3 linked regions of the Stegostoma tigrinum genome follow. The protein of the gene in region 3 interacts with the protein of the main gene of each other region in a pairwise test. Links are inferred from orthologs where the notes say so. Each region holds a gene or a part of one and is shown on either strand. Other genes may lie near its edges. The genes, in order: utp25, ras-related protein Rab-39B and RUN and FYVE domain-containing protein 1-like.

The links.
Region 1: the proteins of RUN and FYVE domain-containing protein 1-like (region 3) and utp25 interact in binary tests that used the Homo sapiens proteins (3 or more experiments, as listed by UniProt). The link is inferred for Stegostoma tigrinum from reciprocal best matches to the Homo sapiens genes RUFY1 and UTP25.
Region 2: the proteins of RUN and FYVE domain-containing protein 1-like (region 3) and ras-related protein Rab-39B interact in binary tests that used the Homo sapiens proteins (3 or more experiments, as listed by UniProt). The two-hybrid records come from large-scale screens. The link is inferred for Stegostoma tigrinum from reciprocal best matches to the Homo sapiens genes RUFY1 and RAB39B.

Annotation. Positions count from the first base shown.
Region 1 is NC_081362.1:63,458,852-63,465,787, forward strand, and holds the start of utp25 (U3 small nucleolar RNA-associated protein 25 homolog), read right to left. Parts: upstream 3,111-6,936; 5' UTR 3,069-3,110; coding exon 2,959-3,068; intron 955-2,958; coding exon 915-954; intron 1-914. UniProt on the Homo sapiens protein: Component of the ribosomal small subunit processome for the biogenesis of ribosomes, functions in pre-ribosomal RNA (pre-rRNA) processing. Essential for embryonic development in part through the regulation of p53 pathway.
Region 2 is NC_081368.1:35,313,778-35,320,725, forward strand, and holds the start of ras-related protein Rab-39B, read left to right. Parts: upstream 1-3,862; 5' UTR 3,863-4,197; exon of another isoform or gene 4,198-4,214; intron 4,215-4,392; exon of another isoform or gene 4,393-4,413; 5' UTR 4,414-5,141; coding exon 5,142-5,356; intron 5,357-6,948. UniProt on the Homo sapiens protein: The small GTPases Rab are key regulators of intracellular membrane trafficking, from the formation of transport vesicles to their fusion with membranes.
Region 3 is NC_081366.1:38,378,915-38,386,197, reverse strand, and holds the start of RUN and FYVE domain-containing protein 1-like, read left to right. Parts: upstream 1-4,198; 5' UTR 4,199-4,284; coding exon 4,285-4,525; intron 4,526-4,600; exon of another isoform or gene 4,601-4,713; intron 4,714-7,283. UniProt on the Homo sapiens protein: Activating adapter involved in cargo sorting from early/recycling endosomes. Regulates retrieval of proteins from endosomes to the trans-Golgi network through interaction with the dynein-dynactin complex.

The sequences.
Region 1 (6,936 bases), on a different chromosome or scaffold from region 3:
CAAGGTCAGAAATCACACAACACCAGATTATAGGTCAACAGGTCGATTTGAAAACATAAGCTTTGGAGCCTCAGTCCTTCTAAAGGATTGAGGCTCCAAAAGCTTGTGACTTCAAATAAAACTGCTGGATTAAAAAGAACAGAGAACAAAGAAAATTACAGCACAGGAACAGGCCCTTTAGCCCTCTAAGCCTGCACCGATTGAGATCCTCTGTCTAAACCTGTCATCTATTTTCTAAGGGTCAGTATCCCTTTGCTCTCTGCCCATCCATGTACCTGTCCAGATACATCTTTAAAGAGACTATCATGTTTGCATCTACCACCTCCACTGTCAATGCATTCCAGGCACCCACCACCTTCTGCATAAAGAATTTTCCACGCATATCTCCCATTAACTTTCCTCCTGTCACTTTGAAATAGCATTGTGTAATTTCTGACACTGTCCAGAAAAGTCAGACATTCTCCCACTCTCTTCACTCTACCTACACTAGCTGTTTCTTTAGCTATCTACATTTCCATGCTTGGGAATTCTTTCATAAACCTTGCACCTCCTTTGATTTTTGGAAAACGGGTCTAACACCTGTCATCTGTGTCTTGGTGTAATGTTTACTTAATGTTTACTTAAATTATCTCTGTGAAATGTCTTTTTTTCTAGCATTAAGCATAATAAACTATTAAAATAAACATCAGTGCCTACATCATTGTTACAAACTTTCACAGCAAAGAACTTGCACTCTCAACCCATCAAACATTGCGTGTTTTATCTAGACATTTCCAGAGATGTTCATTTCTAGCTGCCATTTAATTCAATATTTTTAAAATTAAGTTTAACTAACACATGAAGCATTCTGTCTTCCAGACAGTGTTACCTCCAGATACTACAAAGAATCCACAATAGTAGTATTCAAAACTCACCGGATCAACAATCTGAACTGGCGCTGCTTTTTCCAAAATCCTGCAAAATAATACCCAAATATTACACAGAATTGCAAGATAGCCTGATGGCAGACAAATTGAGCAGGTATTTTATAATTTTCTCTATAAAAGATATAAAGCAACATCCCAGAAGCAATAATAAATCAGAAAATAAAAGGGTGTGAGGTACTCAGGAAAATTACAATCACTCAAGTAGTACTGAGTAAATCGCTGGCATTGAAAACTAACAAGCATCTTTATTTGGAGACAGCAAGAACTGTAGATGTTGGAATCAGTCAATACAGTGTGGAGCTGGGGGGGAAGTTAGGGCTGGTTATGAAGGATGCACACCCGAAACGTCAACTTTCCTGTTCCTCTGATGCTGCCTGACATGCTGTGTTCCTCCAGCTCCACACTCTATTGGCAACGTCTTTATTCTATGTTCTCAAAATAAGTTCCAACTGCGATAGGTAATATGTTGATTTTAATTTTCTTTTCCAAAACAAGATACAATTGTAGTGGGTTGCAAAATAATAAATGTTTCTCCTTTAGTCAAAACGAGGAATCAACAAACAGAAAACTACAGGCCAATCAGTTTAATGTCTGCCATAGGGAAAACATCAGAATCTGTTGTTAAAGGCATGCTAATAATTATAAGTTATTAATTTTCAGCATTCTGATTTTTAGAGGGTATTTCAGAAGTTGCCACATCAAATGTTGCCGTTGAAAATAAAACATCATGTTTTATTTTCCTCCGATGTCAGTATAATTCGACTTTAAACTTCGAAAATTGTTCACATTATTCCAACATGGGGTAGTATATTGGCATGGATAGAGTGGCAGATTGGCAGAGAGTAGGCAAAGATGGATCTTTTCGTGGTTGGTGAGATGTAATGGTGTGCCATATAAATTAGTGCAAGAACTTCAATTGTTTACAATTTTCATAAATGACCTGTTTAAAGGAACAGAAGGTAAGATGGCCAATTTTGCAGATAACAGAAAAAGCATAAAACTAAGTCATGTAGAGGACATATGGAGGCTACAGATACTGATAGTTACACAATGGGCAAAGAATTTCAGAGCAAACCGATCACAGTATATGATGTCAGAGAAGAAGCAGACCATTCAGCCCGTCGAGTCTGCTCCACCATTTAATGAGACCATGACCAACTTGATAACCCCCAACTCTACTTTCCTGTATTTTCCCTATCCCACTCAATTTCCCCACCGATTAGAAATCTGTCTCCCTCAGCCTCGAATATACTGAATGTCACAGCTTTGACAGTCCCTGGACTGCCGGTTTGTGAAAAAGACTTCAACAGCCAGGTTAAATGCTCGCTCCAGGTGAAGTTGCCACAAAAGGTCCCACTTTCTCAACTTGACCTGAGGCTTGGAGACCGCTACTGAGACAACAGTGTTATGGTTCTCTGGAACAATGGTGATTTTACCCTCACAGCCTTCTGCAGTAAAGAATTACAAAGATTCACTAGCCTTAGAGAAGAAACCCTCTTGCCACTAGCAAATTTTAAATAGATGAAGAGGAATTACTTCTCCCAAAAGGGTCAAGAATTTGTGGAATTCACTATCCCACACAGCAATGGATGCAAGGTTCTAGGGACTGAATTGCTTAATCCTGCACTTTTTAAAAAATTATTAAACCCATGTTCTTAAATGTATGGTCTCGTATTCTGAGGCTATACCCTTGGTTCTAGACTCGCCCCTAAGGGTAAACAAACTTTCCACATCTACCCTGTCAAGTTCCTGAAGAATCTTACGTGTTTCACCAAAGTTGCCTCTCATTCTTTCAAACTACAATGAGTATAGGCCCAACCCACACAATATTCATAAGAGCGCTCCACTACATCCAGGATTAGTCTCATGAACCTTCTCTGCACTACCTCCAATGTCAGTATAATTCGACTTTAAACTTCGAAAATTGTTCACATTATTCCAACACCACACTTCAGGATGATGAGACCGAAACACGGGTGCAAGACTGGGAGCGACGGCCAATTTAAGGTGATTCTAAAGCAGACAGACTCACTCATCGTGAAAGGGATGTTGCTCCCCGAATTCCCGCAGATGTTTTTTCTGCTTCTTGGTTAAGTTACTCCCAAAACGCTGCGATTTTCTTCCACTCTTTCTTTTCCCCATTTCCCCCCGACAACACGCGCACGCCTGCTGCTCTCCGATTGGACACCAACTCGGTGCCACGTCCCAATACGGGTTCTCACTATTAGCTCAGCCGTCCTACCTGAAAGCTAACCGGTACAGCTCCACCCAATGAGACTGAAAGGCAGTTTGACGGACGCTGGTGCCGTTCAATAAGTGCTTCGGCTGAAGGGCAGAGCGGCAACAAAAATCGTGAACGAAACGCCAATCAGAGGGGAAGGCCCTGTTTTAGGTTTGGTTGAGCGGTCGTGTAGTTGTCATTTTGGTTTCGGTTTGCGTCATGGGGCGCTTTTTGTGCAGGAATGAAATTCCTTACTTAAACCGTGGGAGGTTTGATTGGAGGGAAATTTAATAACACGATGGAGGCAAGTATGCTTCGGAAAGCTCTTTTCTTTCTTGATGTTGCCGTGGGGACGATAACCAGGACAGGATAACAAAGCATGAAGCTGGATGAACACAGCAGGCTAAGCAGCATCTCAGGAGCACAAAAGCTGACGTTTCGGGCCTAGACCCTTCATCAGAGAAAACGGCTTCTCAATCCTGTATTTTATGTTGAGCCTGCCTGACTGACTGACTGACCGACCTTCGCCTCGGTCTTGAAGGGGGCGGGGGTTTTTGAGACAAACTTTTTCTTCCTCATTGACAAGAGTACTGACTGGGTCTGTTCTAATAGCTGTTAGAAATGTGAAACATTCTTCATTTGAAAGATTACTCCTTTAACTGGAAAACCGAGAATAGGGTTCCCGTGCTTTAACAGACCCGTTTATTTCATTCTGTAGCCTTTTGTTGGTCGGACATTAGTCGTGAGATATATTTCCCTTTTTCCCCTCACTCCTGGTTGACTTCATCCTGACTCCTGTCTGCCACTGTTTTCTACACAGTATTTCCCGAATTCCTGGGATATCTGCAGCATGATGTACGTGAAATTATCTTTTCACCTATTGAAAAATATAAACAGATTGTTGTCAATAACCTGCCGCTGGATTTTTCAGGGTTGTTGTGTGTGACCCTGAATTTCATGTAATTATCTCCCTCACTCGACCCGAACGATAGTTGATCGTCCTGTGTAAGTAGACGACATGTGCAGAAGGAGCACTTTAAAAGTTTCATTTTACAATTGATTCACTTTTTCTGCAAACCTTTAGGAATAATTTTACTGCAGTTCTTCCGCACTGTGCTAACGGTTCCTCTGTGAGCAATGGGGAGAGAGGTTGGGATTGGGTCTCACTGCCCGGTTTGAGAAACCCTGTTCTCATTGGCAATTGACATGTTTTACTCAATTTGCATTGTAACTCCATTAAACATTTTTCTGTTATCTTTCAAAACCAATTATATACTTGTGTCCTTTTTCTTTGTGATGAGCTTTTGCTCCCGTCCACATCTCATTTTCAGGCACTACGTGTGATAGAGATAGTAGGAACTGCAGATGCTGGAGAATCTGAGATAACAAGGTGTAGAGCTGGATGAACACAGCAGGTCAAGCAGCATCATAGGAGCAGGAAGGCTGTAGGAACTGATGAAGGGTGTGGGTCCGAAATCCAGCTCTACACCTTGTTAACTAGGTGTGATAGGCTTGGCTTCCTTGGTTTCTGTTTGAAAATGGCATGTAGCTGTTTCTAAGATTAATTTTTATGGACATCTCATCCTGTTATCTTTACAAATCCTGTTACATTACAGTTTCTCCCATTGCCATATTTTTGCATCCCCTCTTATGCTTGCCTTCCCTCTATACTTGTCTTCTATTTACTGCTCCCTCAATTCCATCCACATTTAACTTCCAACCACAGTAAATTACTTTGTCCAACCATCTTAGTATCTGTCATTGTTAATGGCACAGTTTGCTTGTTGAATTACACTCTGCTGGCTATTATGAAAACCATTCCTCTAAAAAACCCTCAAACTATTCATTTTCTTTAACTAGCTCACTCACCTGTAATCTTTTTAAAGACTTTCAGATATGTTCTTGATCAGCTCTATGCCCTATAGCACATTGTGAATCCTGACAATCCTGCTAATGTTTGCAGGTTTCAAGACTACAATTACTAAAATCAAGAATGATTTTTTTTTTTTTTGATGATTTTTCATTGCATTCACCGCATTTAGTAGTGGCCACATCATGCCATCCTTCTCTGTTGAAAGAATTTGAATTAAATAACACCTACAAAGACCTTACAGCTGGTTTGAAACTTTCTGAAATGCTGCTGCTGTTATGTAGGAAAATGTGAAAGCCAAGATTCTTGTGCAAGACAAGATTCCCAAAGATTGCACTGAAATAAATGCATAGATAAATTATATTAATTGGAGTACAAACATTGGCTAAGAAACTGGGTGAACCCTTGCTCTACCAATACTGCCTTTTCATCTTTATCCAATGAGAAGGCAGACTAGACTTATCATCTGAAAGCTGACACCTTTGAGACAGTTCCTCATTTAAAAAAACACTGTTTGGTACTCCAGTGTCGGTGCTGAAAATTAAAGGCAGTACTTATTACCTACGGCTTTTCAATGTTGTCAGTTATGGGGTGTAGAACTCGTCAGATATTTGACTTAAAAGATAAGCTTCAAATGCTCATGCTATCAACATCTATGACCACTTCTTTCCACCTTTGCAGTATTGTCTATCCCTCCTGTAGTCCCATTGAAATTCTTATCTGTGATATCTCACTATTAGATATTGTTATTTAAACGTCTCTTCTCTGCTTTCTTAGTATCACCATTCATCAGCTGCAGTTTGTCAAACATTAAACTGCCTATATTGTCAAAAAATCACTCCATCTATCTTGTCTTCAATCATGTTGCATTGGAGGAGTAGGAATCAGACAAGTGATGTGCACACGTTGCAGATGTAAAAGATAATCCCATTCTTCTGATCGAATAATGCAATAGCCTGTATATGATGAGGAAAAAGTCAAGCTCGTCATGTCAGGAAACTCCAGGAATAGATGTCAGTCGAGGCAATAGAATATCTGTTGTAATAAGGAATTGGACCAGCCAAGAGTGGTGCCACTGACATGAACTTTGGAGAATAACAATACAGCAGAGTAGTTCACCACACTGATGGTAGGGTTGGGGTTGAGGAAATGTACTCAACGTTGGTCACGTTCACAAAGGTTGTTGGTGACTTTACCAAGTATCTTTGTATTGATAAAAATAAAACAGAGTTTGAGCAGGAAATGGTGATGAAGTTGGGAAGACAGTGGCAACACCACAGTGTTGATCCAAGACTTGAGAAAGGAAACAAACAGCAGCAGTTGAGAATATGGAGTGTGGAGAGTAGAGTATTTGTTTAGTGAATATTGTTCGTAGTTTTGAGAGATGGGATCCTAACTCAGAGCCAGATTTAGACTATTGATCATGGAAGTGAAAGAGGTGGTTTGGTCAAAAGCTGGACAGCTCTCATCATCTAATGCCAGAAACAGTATGGTCTTGTAATGAGGCTCGGTTGGGAATTTGATAGCATTGATAACATATTAAGCAAGGCAACTTGATTTTTTTTTCCTGTGTTTTGATTTACAGATAGATTTTGATGAACAGACTGGTAGAGGGAACAAGTTTAGATAAGCCAAAGTAGGGATGTATGGCTTTGGATTATTTGATATAATAGCGGATGATTATGTAAAATAGGATAAAGATCCATTTGCAATACATTTTTAAAACACCTCAGTACAAGACGGGTTCAGAAGTCATATAAAAGTAATTTTCAAGCACTCAACTGGAACCAAGTCTGATTCAACAAAATATTGTGGAATACTTTGTGATTGACTTGAAATGATTACATCACTGGTGTAAATTCATAGCATTAGCATCTGGACTTGAACTACAATTTAGTTGTAGTTATGGAACCAATCTG
Region 2 (6,948 bases), on a different chromosome or scaffold from region 3:
TGGATTGCTGAACCTCATGCAGAAGGTGATATCCCATCGGCTCAATGTCTTCATCTTCCACCTTGGAAGACTCTCCTCCTGTCCTAAGTCTTCAGCGCCTATCTCAGCCCCTTTTAGCCTGCTCCCAGTTGTGTGCTGAACAGCATTCAAGGATTATGTGGCACACTCTGTCTGAACTATGCTGCAAGGCTCAACTCATACAGATTCACACATCAGGACCTCATCTTCACAAGATCTATCATTTGCTCCATGATGGCCCTGGTCAAAGAATGGGCAGCACTGTATCTATGCGCAGCCTCAGTAAAGGAGTTCCATAAAATAGTCATCAGCCACGGTTGCAGAGAGTAACCCTTGTCTTTCAGTAACCATTCAAAAAGCATCCAGCTCATAATGGTTAAACACATTCAGCCATGCAGCATGACATAGAAGGCTCTGACAAGGAGGACCATGAAATGTATCCACATTGGCCTCTGACACAAAGACCTTATTTCAACGAATGCAGCACATGTCATGTCATGTAATCATGGCAATGGATTGAAAATGTTGTCTGATTACTGATAGCCTGTCCACTCACCCTCTCAGATCATCTAAGAAAGGCATTAATACCTACAACAGCATGTTGGCGAATACTTACAGTTTAAGGTGAAAGAAAATTAGTCCTTTGCCTTTGAGCAGCCTAAGTGATATTATATTCTGGTTACAATTTGCAGTCCACCACTGCCACTTTTTGATCGCCTGTGATTGCTTCTACTTCCCAGAGAAGAGTATAATTAATCTGCAATGACCAATGATATGGTTACGATTGTTTGTGCCAGGATTTGTACCCCATACAACCTGATTACTGATGACACCAATCTGTACAGGGTAAGTGCCTGATTAATGCAATTATCCTTTGAAGGGTCTCACATTGCTCACAGAGTCCAGAAGCTCAGACAGGGGAAAAAATACCTACTCCACCCGTTATGGGTGTGGTCACAGCCCTTTTCCACTTCCAGAACATTTGTGAATTGTATTAGACTCAGGCCATGTTTGGCATAGGAAGTTGCAGTTTTAACCAAGAAAACCAGGAAACCCCCAAACTTCCATGTTCCTTTCTTCCTGTAACAGTCTGTTGAGCCCATCGGTTTTAGTCTTCTATACATTCCTACACACCTTATTGCCTTCACCTCCTAACAATACCCATGTGTCCCAGCCATACATCTTAGCACACTATGCTGTGCTGCACCCCACCTTGGTCAAAGACATCACTGATGGAGGGTCACCACCACCTCACTGAGCTGACCCCAGGCTAATTGTGACCCACTCTTCCAGAATGAATTGGACCAACAGTCCTGGCTAATCACTGACCAGACCCCTGGCTGATAGTTATCTCTCCACCTGACCTACTGCGACTCCTTGGATTTGTCGCATTCCACCTACAGGCCCATTCATTAGACTGTAATGATACAGACCCCCATGCCCCTAACCACTCCACGTAGCTAATTAACCATGTCCAAACCCCTAGACTGATATCAAATGCTGCCCAAGACTTACTGTAATGGGATCCCTGACTGAACGCTGTCTCCCTCAGCCCGATTGAGGACTTTACCCTGACTTTGAGAAATGGCTATTTGCTTTGTTATCTGTGTATGCTGCTGACGCATGGTTCATGTGTGAGACTGACATAGCACATTGTCTGACAGCAACACATACAACTCCTTGGCTAGTGACTGTTGACAGCACTAAATAACGAGGCAGGACAGAAGTACTATGAACGTTTAAGCTCTGGCAGATGGGACAAAGCACAAAAAGACAAGGCAAGGCATGGCTGAGATGCTGTGAGCATTCAAGTAAGCTCAAAGTGAGTGAATGCTAAGAGAGAAAGCGAACAGGTCTGAGGTGCACTTGGACCAATTCTTGAGTTAGATGTCTCTCCCTGCTTGAAAAGTGCCCTTGCAGTGGCATTACAATGACAGGTATATTGTAAGTGAATCAGAGAATGAGTCATGAGTGTGCGTTGATACTGCTGAATGTCCAGTGGTGACCTTTGTGAATGGGGGTATGTGGGCAGTTATGCTTCTGGACCATTCTCTAAGCTGATGGGGACTGCTGCTTAAGATGGTGGCCCAAGCAGCGAGCTGGTATAGCCAGATTTCCAGTCTGACTTTCATGCAGAGAATCATTGCCATCTACGTTCTATTTGGTGGTGGGAAACTGCACATCAATGAGTGAGGATGAGTTTAAAGGGGCAAGCTAATACATGCGAATGGCTACAAATACATTTCTGGCCGCTCACAAGCAAAATTCTCAGTTCACCATTCAAAACTTGGTTGGGGAATCAAACTTTTTCTTTATGTTGAGAATGTAATTTCTGCTGATCTCACCTTATTTTTCCAACTGACTCACTAATGCCCACATTGTTTAGAAGTTGGGAAGATTATGCCCTGTATTCCTGTCTATGTTAGACAGTTAGGAAAAGCACAGATCCGAAGATAGGTAGGGCACAGATTGGGGTTTGGACAAGGGCCCTTGTTGCTGTTTGTTTGCCAGAACCAACTGAGCTGTCTAAAGGACTGGAAAAACAAATCCTCTAAGATTCAATAGCATCATTGGGCTCTCCTGGCCCCAGTGGGAGAGGATTTGTTGAACCACCTTGTTGTTATTAACTTTTTTTTTATTCATGGGATGTGGGCATTGCTTTGCTCATCTCTAAGTGCTCTTGAAGTCTGGGGATTTCAGATAGAATACCGTTACAGGGAGATTGTGACTCAAATCCAAAATAACTGAGTGGAAAGCAGGAGATCCTACATGGGGAATGTAGACGTGGAAAGGTTAAGATTGCATGTGGTTCCAGATTTTTGTGGGAAACGATGTGAGTGCTTGTAAATGCATAAGACAGTTGTAAGTGACACTGAAAATGAAATGTATTTATTTAAAATATCCCTTGTTTGATAACTAATGTTTGAATAATATTGATTTTAGTTGGTTTGTTACAGTAAAACGGTTTAAAAATTATATCTTGCCCAGCAACTTTCTTTCTATTGGCTCTGTGATGATTCCTTCTCTTTTAAAATTACCAGTCTGTACGCTAACACTTGCCTAATCACAGCCTCTGATCCACTGCAATAGTCCCGTTATTCATAACTAGTTTGCTCCTACACATTATTTACGTGCCTGGTCCAGTTGAGTTTCTGATCAATGATAGCCATGCACGATATTAATGGTGGGGGATTTGATTCTTGAATGTGTTAAGGGAGAGGTTAGAGATTGACAATTTAAAATTATACCCCTATTCTGATGGGGAAATGGTTTCAAATTATTTGACCGTCCTAAATTGCTCTAAGCCTGATGCTCCAGGTGTCAGGACAGGCTTCTGTGTACTGTAGCCTCCACTCTTGCCTCTTGCAAGTTAACCTTGCTCCCACCCCATATAGGTGCAGACAGATATAGAGAGAAAAGTGGCAAATGCTGTAATTGTGAAATGAAATGCAGAATATTTTGGAAGTGCCACAAACATTTGTGATAATATTTGAAAGAGAAAATATAGACATGCGTGTCAGACATGACATGACCATGCTCCTGTATTAAAGGTTCTTACCTGAGACATTAATTGAATATCTTGTCAAGAATTTAAACATATTTACCTATGTGTGCAGATAATCCGCACAGAAGTATTATTGACAATTTGTATTCTGTGGAAAACTTGCTTTTATAAACTGAAATTTTCTTCATTGTCAATGCTTCTTAAAATGTTCTCAAAACCATACAATTCTCAAAGCAGCTTTGAAATGAGCACGCAGACCATTGCTTGTTAAATACATGCACAGTGCACTAGCACACCCTGCTTGCAATGGACTGGTTGTTGCAAGATGGGGGGGCGGGGCGGTCTGTGTTGTTGATGGTGCTGATGTTGCAGTGATTTCATCAGCTTTCGCCCAGGGCTGCAACCTGCTAAAAACAGGTTGTGATTCCTGTGTCAGTGAGCAGGAAAGGGAGGAAAGGCTGCAAACCTATCCCCGGGGAAATCGAAGCCCTATCTTCCACACAACCCCGGTTGCCATCATCTTCTCAGTCTCGGGAGTCCCGGCTTTTCGGCCTGTTCGCCATTTAATTTTTTGATATTTGAAAACGTTGTGTTTTGTTTTCTCTTCCTCTCTCTCTTTCTGCGGCTCCCGGAGTGAGGAAACGCTACCGGCATCGCTTCCATTGCAGTTGAGAGTAAGCTTACGTTAAATGTTAGTCTTTACATTAAAATATACAATTTTTTTTGCAAAATCGCTTTTGCTGCTAGGACTTGCAATGTTTAATGTATATTCAAACGTGTTGATAAAAAATAGCCACCCGTGAAATGATGTTTAATGTTTAGCTTACAGAAGTGTTGTAATTGCAATTAAATTTCTTGTTTCTTCAAAGAAGCTCTGTTCTCCCTGACAGAGGGAGCGATGGGAGCGACCTTGGCTGGAACAAATAACCACTCTTTGGAAACTGGGATTTTGGCCAGGGCTTAACCCCAGCGAGCTCTGTCTGTCTGTTTATCGCCAATTCTTGCTTACGAAGCGAGCCGTGCAATAGTCCATTTAATTCTTCAAATTACCTGAATGTGACTGAACTGCTCCCTCTCCCTTCCCCCTTTCATCCCCGATGATTCTGACAACTCGCTGTCGCATGTATGTCTTTCTCCTGGTCGATATTGAGCAAGATTTAAAGATGGAGACTGCATGAGGATCATCCGAGGTGTGACACAGTGAGAGCTGCAAGCCTGGGAATCCTTCACGTTTGCCTGCAGACACATTAATAGTAGCGAGAAACACTGTCTACCACCGGGTGCCCTGGCCTTTTGGAAATACTGGAAGCTTCTCCAAACGGGGATATTCTGGCGATGTGGGGACACTGAAGAAGGAATGGACTGATCCTTGGAAGGAAACATCCTTTTGTGACTGCAAATGCTGCTTTTTGAATGGCCGATCATGGTAACCTGCCTATAAAAGGAGGAATCTGAGACTCAGCAGGACAGAGATTTCTGTTTTTGTCTGTGTGCTAGACCTGGTTGATGTGTAACCAACCCCAATAAGCTGGGCTCACTGGGATACTGCTGAAAGACTCACCGCACTTGGGCCACAATACTTATACATTTTGGCCAGTTTATCACAATACCTGGGGAGATGGAGGCTATCTGGGTCTATCAGTTCAGGTTGATAGTCATTGGGGACTCCACGGTGGGGAAGTCGTGCCTGATCCGTCGTTTCACCGAGGGAAGGTTTGCCCAAGTGTCGGACCCCACGGTTGGCGTGGACTTCTTCTCGAGGCTGGTAGAGATTGAGCCAGGAAAACGGATTAAGTTGCAGATCTGGGACACAGCTGGTCAGGAGCGATTCAGGTAAGTCTTAGTCTCTAGTATGTCTCAGGTAAACCTTAACAGGAATTATATCGGACCGTAATCGTGTGTCTTATTGGGAAAAACCAATATTCTTGCAAATATGTAATAGTTCTGTCTTCTTCTGTTTTGTGTGTTCAAATTGATAGCAGCAGACATTTTATGTAGAAGGCCCCTTGTGTGATATCATGAGTTTCCACACCCATGATGCACAAATGGAGTTTGCGGTAAACATTTCCATTCATTCTCATTGAAATCAGAGCAGAGATTATCAAATTTGATAATTACTTGATAATTATCAAATTTTATGTGTGATGAATCCCTCCAAATATTGAAAGGATCTCAGAACCCTTTGCAAAATATTGACGTCTCATTATAATACCCCTGCAAATATTGACACATTCCCCATTCTCTGAAAATGTTGCACATTTGCCTGGCAAATATTGTTGCATTCCCAGCACCTCTACTGACATTGACATGTCACCAGCACCTTGAATGTGTTGCCAGGCTACAAGGTTTTCCTGATTCTTGAGATGATAAGGTTGTTGTTTGCCAAGCCTTGGTGGGGGAGGGGTAGATGCAGAGAAATGGGTCTCAGTCTCTGTATATGGAATAGGCCATTTAAGACTGAGATTAAGAAAAAAAAGATTCAATCAGTGGTATCAGAACTATGGAATTCTCTGCCACAAATGGCTGTGGAAGCCAAGTCACGGTAACAGATGGAACTACAGGCACCAAAGGTATCAAGGAGTATGGGGAGAGTGTGGGAGTGTGACATTGAGTTAGAGGACCATGTTAAATAGCAAAGCAGGCTTGATGAACCTAATAGCATACTCCTGTTCCTATCTGCCTGTGTTTCTGCACTGATATATTACCAGCATTTGTTACAAATATTCACACAATCCCACGCATCTCTTCCAAATATCAACATGCTTGCAGCATTCCCTGCAAATGTTGACACACTCCCAAGATCCGCAGTCTTATTTTTTTGATAGCTATTGCCAGTTGTTGAATGTGTTGTCGTGCCAACCATTACCAGCTTGGTCAAGGTAGTTTGCTACCATCTCGTGAGTATGAACAAGAAGCTACTCTGTTCTTAAACAGAGTTTAAGTTTACAGCATGCTAGTAATTGGGTACATTACATTAGTGAGAAAGATATTGTTCTTAAGACTATGTGGAGACCTGCGGTATAAATCTTACTGAACCAGATCCTAAGCTGTTCTGTCTTTCCCTGCTCAGGTCCCTATGATATCATCTCACTCGGTGGAGCTTAATACAGTCTCCTGTATCAGCCTTTTCAAAACCATTACCTGATACAACATCAGCCATCCAAAAGAATTTGTTACTATCATGGCAGAAAGCCTATTTTGTTAGTACACAGCAATATAAATAATGACGGTTAACAAAGAGAGAAAGCAAAGATGATAACAATTCTCTCCGGCCTCCCTGTTTGTAGTTTGTCCAGATTTAGACAGACAAAAGTCTAGGGATCTAAGGACCCCGTTTAAAACCCAAAAACTTTGTTCAGATATTTTGTGTTGCATTCTTCTTGATGTGACACCACAAATGGTAAGTAATATCTAGAGCCGTAAAT
Region 3 (7,283 bases):
CTGCTGAGATGATCCTTGTGACTTGTCAGGATGTACTGCTCCATGTTCCTGCTTTTCCAGACACTTTCACTTGCTTGTGGAAGGCAGAGAGTCACACTTATAAAGTCTCTGGATTACTGCCTAAGGTCACAGGTTACAGTAACTGCTGAGAGGAATTAAAGAACTGGATTTTTTCCAGGCTGAAGGCAACTTTTACTGTACAACATAAACAGAGCCTGCACTTCCAGAAGTCTGATGGTTTCTGCCAAAACACTCAAAACCCAAGCTGTTCAGCTATTCGGAAGCCAATTACATAGTTGTTTGTAGGGGAAAGGATTTGTCTTCAATAACTGGTCATTCGACCACAGTCCAATCAGCTACTTGTTGCCAGTCAATGCTCCATTCGTACACAACCCTTTGGTCAAACTCATTGGAAATCCAGGCTTCCATTACTGCTTGAACGAGCGAATGTGTACTTATAACGAGTGTCAGCTTATTTGCTCTTTATAAAGGGCAGTCATTCTTCAACAACCCTAGTCTTTTAAAAACAGTTCCTTTCCTATTTCAGCCAGTAATGAGAAGTACAGAAAAATAAAAATAAAAAGTCTTCACACTTGCCATATTGATACATCAAGGGACTCTAAGAGAAGAAATGGGAATTATTAGAAGATGCACAAAAATTGAACTCATGTTGAGCAACAGATAGTAAATATTCTGAATGATTAATGTGAAGAAATTATGAACAACATAACTTCAGCAAAAAACTTCAACTTTGACATAAATGTTTCTGAAGTCTAGACAGGCTATAAAGAATTAAAGCAGATAACTGCCCAATATTAAACAGTATTGATCTACAGTGTTCAGAAAGATAAACATGCACATTTAAATTGCATTGACATTCATTAGGGAGTCTAAAGTACACTGGGAAAATTATCTGTTGATTGGTGGTCAGCTAATAAAACCATATTTTCAAAAATTGGCAAAATAATTAGATGATTAAGGATACATTAACCTTAGACAACGCTGATGCACAATAATGGATTGATTATCGGGAGCAAATCTTTTGATTTCAGCTGCATACATTCTTGTCTCTTCTTAGTTACCTGAGAAAATAATGGAAAGCTTGCTTCTTGAAATGTTGCACTATGTCTGGTGAAGGTGCTCCCACAATGCTATTGGGTAACGAGCTCCAGGATTTTGACACAATGGCAACAATGGGACAGTGATTAATGCTTATGCTAGGATGGTATGTCACTAAGAGATAATGGTGTTCCCATGCGGTTGCTGTCCTTGTCCTTCTGGGTGGTAGAGGTTGCAGGTTCAGAAGACAGCAAATAGGTCTTGGAGATAATGGGAACTGCAGATGCTGGAGAATTCCAAGATAATAAAATGTGAGGCTGGTTGAACACAGCAGGCCAAGCAGCATCTCAGGAGCACAAAAGCTGACGTTTCGGGCCTAGACCCTTCCTCTCTGATGAAGGGTCTAGGCCCGAAACGTCAGCTTTTGTGCTCCTGAGATGCTGCTTGGCCTGCTGTGTTCATCCAGCCTCACATTTTATTATCACCAAATAGGTCTTAGTGAGTTCTTGCATTGCTTGCTGTAGGTGGTACGTACTGCAACCATATAGGTGTGAATGGACAGTGTTAACTTAGCTTTTAAGAGGGAAGATCCTATTTTACTGATTTCCTTGATATCTTTGAGCATGTGACAATCTGGGAAGCAAAAGAGGCGGTGGGTTCGAACCTCACTTCAGATTTGAACATATGCCAGTAACATCTTGGCATATAATCTAGTGACATACTGAAGAAATTCCAAATTTCAGATGAAAACTTAAAATGGCTGCCCTTAAGGTTGCAAAAGTGTATCATGGAACTATTTTTGGAAAAAAAGCATGGGATTTTACTCTGGTAGTCTGTCCAAACATTTAGCCCTAAAGTAATATTACTACATCAGATTAATGATAATGGGAACTGCAGATGCTGGAGAATCCAAGATAATAAAGTGTGAAGCTGGAGCTCCTGAGATGCTGCTTGGCCTGCTGTGTTCATCCAGCTTCACACTTTATTATCTTACTACATCAGATTGTCTGGTTATTCCGAAAGACTGTTATTCTGAATGTTTTATTTATTTATTTATTTTTCTAATTTATTCTGACAATCTTGTACTTTTGCATCTGAGATGGCACTAAGATCTGTAAAGCTGAACTTTTTATTTCGTTATTTTTCTATTTTTTTCCCCTAAGAATTTGTACCAAAGATTGTGTTTCTAGTTACATTTGTACTTAAGATGGCACCATAAGTAGGGCGACTTATAAACTTTTCACTGTACTCATGTGAGTACATGTGACATAAAACTAATTCTTCTAACTTACCTCATGGCTGTTTGTGGAATATTGGCATTACAAACTGCTGACTGGATTTGGTTGTGTTACTATTTAACAGAACAGTATTGATATGTTAAATCAGGCAGTGCAACGCTTTCAGAGATTTGCAATGTGTTTCTTCATCTATATTTTAGCACCAACAGAAGTTTTCAACTTACTCTTCTGGTCCCTATCCAGAAGTTAACGCCCTACTGGAGAAGATACTTTTTTCCTTCATTAACCTGTTCAGAAATGTTATTACACATGTCTGGAGCAGGTGGGACTTGACTCAGAGATAGAGATATTACCACTGCGCTGCAAGAATCCTTCCACCTAGTGGAGAAGAAGTCAGTACTAAAATTAGCATCATCTGTTCTCCAACAACTCTGAAAGGTTCTGTTTGATGCTTAAAGGGGCTTGCATTTCTACCACTGACATAATATCAGTAACAATGCTTCAAAAATAATTGCTTGAGATTCTTTGTGACATCATTGTATGTCTTTCCTTAACTTTTAAAACTGTGTTAATCCTGAACCATATTTGTTCTAAGACTTCCAAAAAACATTTGATAACATGTCAAACAAAAGATTTCTTATTAAGCAGTAAACAGTAGGAATTAAGAAACTTGCTTAAGGGGTACTGGTCAGAGAGGTAATGTTAAGAATAGGAGGGAAATCATTGTGCAGGATCCCTGAGGACATTAATGTATTAATGCTATATTAAAGAGTTAATACTGATTGGTCCAATTTGTGGTGATACCAAACTGGGAAGGGGTATGGAATCAAAGAAACAGTTCAAAATCTGCAGACTTAGTTAAATGAGGGAATCAAACTAGGTATCCCATATACGTTCTCAACCACTTTATCTTACTGTCCCACGACCTTAAGGGACCAGCAGTCATGCAAAGCAAGGTCCTTCTGATACTTGAGACTTCCCAGGATCCTACCATTCATTGTGTATTCCCTCACCATGTTATTCCTGCCAAAGTGCATCACCTCATACTTACTTGAATTGAATCTCATACTAATTAAATGGCAAGACGTTGGAAAATGTACATATAAAAAGGACCCTAGGTGTCCTTGCTGATAAGTCCCTGAAGATTAACATGTGGGTGCAGTAAGACATTAGGAAGGGTAATGAACTGTTAGTCCTTCTTGCGAGCAGATTTGAGTACAGTAGTGGAGTCTGGTTTCAATTGTATATGATCTTGCTTAAACCATACTTGGATTATGTGTGCAGTCTTTGGTCTCGTTATCTCAGAAATTATATCAGAGTCATGGAGTGCACAAAGGTTCACTAAATTTGCTCCAGGAATGATGCGACGATTCTGCGATTAAAGTTTGGGCAAAGTGGCCCGATATTGTTTAAAGTTTCACAGAATGAGGTAATCCCCTTGAACCTCACAAAATAACGGAGCACGGGAGGAAATCCACGGAGTCATAAGGAGAATGTGCAAACTCAACACAGTTTCCCTAGACTGGAATCAAAGCCAGGACCCCGGCACTGTGTCACTATGCTGCAATCATTGCAGAATTGATATATCACGGTGGTTTAAACAGTCATGGGGATGGGTTGAATAAAAGTCATTGAAATATTGGATGGGTCACGATCGCATTAAACGATAGGGTTGGCTCGACGGGCTGAATGGGCCACTGTTCTATTGACTCCTACAGGCGGGATTCCGGCTAGCTCACCAGCCAGTATGAAAGATGGAGCTTTATACGAAGGCACATTTCCTCTGCTCTGGGATGAGCCTAGTTCCCGGATTGTACATTAGAAATGTCATAACACAACAACTGACGACAGGTTTGGAAAAAAAACTTAGTGCGCCTGCGCAGCCGCCGCCTGCTGGTTAATTTCTCAAGGATTAACCGTCTTCAGCTACGTGACTCTCGCTCTGTTTCTCGGCGAGTGATTGCGTACGCCTGTGTCACGAGGGAAGATGGCGGACCAAACCGAGGATTTGAGTAGCGCCGCGGCTGAGGCAGACCACAAGACTGGATCGCCTTCGTCACCTGTCGCAAGCGTTCGAGGCTTGGAGGATGGTGGCTGGTCGACCCCCATACTGTCACTCGCCAGGAAAGCGTCAGAGACCCTATCGGCGAACTACGGGAGCGCTTTGAAATCAGCGGCGGTGGGATTCGCGGTCAAAGCAAGCAGCAGCGACAACACGATGACTAAAAGTAGGTTTTGGAATGGGGTGGGGGGGGGGCACGAGCGCGGGCCCGAGCCCGAGAGGCGGGGCCAATTAGGCGCGAGCCTTGGGGAACGGGCAGAGCTGGCAAGGGGTAGCGGGGCGCGAGGCTCGGGGACGCGCCATGCTGTTGGCGAAGTGTGGGACCAGGGAGCGCGCGGGTGCAAGAGGTGTGGGGTGAGTGGGAGGTTTATGGTCGGTGGCGAGTACTGATCCCGGCCGGATCCCCTCATTGCAAAAGAGTTGGGGTTTTGCTAATCGTTTTGAAATACAGCTACTGAAGAGCTTGGAGGCTTCACCAGCCCGCTTTTGCGATTGTTACAGTCATTTTAACATAACGTTTACCTTCTTGACCTGTCTGCGAGGTGATCGGTTGACATGTCATTTTACTGCGGTGCCTGTCTATTGTTGGCTAACTGTTCTGCCTGCAGCAGCTTCAACTTACTTTAAAGCCTGTTCAGATATGTTGTCACATACCTCTTGTGGCAATTGGGATTTAACCCTGGTTCTTTTGGCATCTCAGTTAGTTGTTGGTGTAGTGGGTTCAGTTCCATCAACAACTTTCCATCTCAACTTTTCCCCTTGTTTTGAGGTATGGTGACCCATGGGGTTAAACCACTGCCAGTTCTCTAATGAGAGAGCAGTCTTGTAGTCTGCTAGTACTGTATCAACTTTACCTTTGCATCTGGTCTGGAACTTGAGCTTGTGACTGTGCTGCCTGAACCCTGCATCTCAACAGGCATGTCTGATGGATTTATTGTTGGCTTCCTTCTCTTGTTTCTCACCAGGGTACCCAACTGTGACATTATCCAAAAGCAGTCATTTTTGATGTGTATGATGATGGCGTCCATCTCTACCTTGTCATTACCTGTTTTTGCTTATCCCACTGATGCTAAAATGTTAGCCTATTTGTTGGACATAAAATATTGAATTAGTAGTTTTCTCTGGTTAAGCTTGCACAAAGAAGCCATGGCCTCTGGTTTCCAGTTGCAAACTGTTCCCTATTTAAGGACTTTGCCTGGCTGGTCATATTTTGCCCATACTTTGAGAGAGCCTATTTCCACTTCTGCAACATAACCCAACCCTGTCCTGCTTCAGCTAATTAGCCAAATCCTTTATGCATACCTTTTTTGTTATTGTGACTTGATATTCCAGTTGACTTCTGACTGACAGCTTGTAGGCTACTCTTAAGATCATGACAGCATTCAAACCTCTGTGCGTGATCAGGTGTATTCACCATATGACTTGCATTGACTCCTGGTGTAAATGATCCCTTGATTTTAAAATTCTCATCCTTTTTCAATTCCTCCATGGGCACACCTTTCCAATCTCTAATCCTCTGCAGCCCACAACCTTTCAGATATCTGACTCTGATGCTTGCCTTTGAGCATCCCCCTGATTTTAATCATTCCCTAATAGGTAGCTGTGCCCTCAGCTCCTGAGGCCCCAAACTCTGGAGTTCCCATTGTAAACATCTTCAGCTTTGTAACTCCTTCCTCCTTTTAAGAAATGAATTCATATTTGCCTCTATGACCAAGCTTCTGGATATCTGCCCTGAAATTACCCTATTTGTTGACAACATAGTTTGCTCTATAATACTTTCGAAGTGGATTGAAATTATTGTTACATTAGAAATGCATTGTTCATAATGTTGTAGCTGTTAGACGCCGTCCTGTTTGGTGGAGGAAGTAGAAAAGCAAAGCAGAACTATGAAAAAAAGACTAGCAGTTAACATAAAGGGAAATCCTAAAGTCTTGTAAAGACCTATAAATAGCAAGAGAGTGGCTAATGGAGTAGTAGGACTCATCTGAGACCAAAAAGATGATTTGCAATTAGAGGCATGGGGCATGGCTGTGGTACTAAATAAATACTTTGCATCTGTCTTTACCAAAAAGGCTACTCATTGTGATGGTACTACGCTTTAAGAGGTGTATTTTGACTGGATTTTTCTTCGTATGAAAACATGTTAAGACGGTGGTGACAGGCTGTCTGTTTAAATCCAATAAAGTAAACAGCTTATGAGACCTGAGGTTTTTAAAAATTGGAACAATGGAAGCAGCTTCAATGTTATCAACCAGAGGCAAAAAAATGACTGAAGCAACATGCTGGCCAGCAAAATAATCTTAAGGATCATCGCAGCAAAAGATCCTGGTGCCAGAGGTCAAAGGAAAACTGAAATATTACGGCCAGTGTCGGCTGTATTTTTACCATCATTTTACTTCAAGAATTCTTGGTTGCGATTCATCTAGCCATGGTGCCTTAAGTTTAAGTGCCAACCATCTATCCAAGACTTGTCCCTTATTAAGTTTGATCCCCATTAGTGACAGGAAAAAAAATCTATCACCATGACCTGGTGTTACAGACCAGACCAAACCCCCTCAAAACATCATAAGAAGATGGCTTAGAACCTAAAATTTTCAAGCTCCGACAGAACAGGATTTTTAGATTTAGTTTTTCAGTAACAGTTGCTGGGATCTTGAAGCTGGGTTTGGAAGCTGCAGTATATCTGTCCCTGCTACTGAGTTTTCGTTTGTTTTTCCTCCGAGACAAGAGAGTTACATGTGAGGCAATCTATTTTACTGAATTTACCTTTGCCAAGGGTTTGTTTTGAGATGTTGCTCTTGGAACAATTCCTGTTTAGGAATTGAATAATCTTATTGTCCTGTTAAGTCTTCCAATAGAGTTGTATTTCTTTCTTTTTTCTATTTTAACTTGTGTATGAATAAAGTGTGTATTTCTTCAAATCT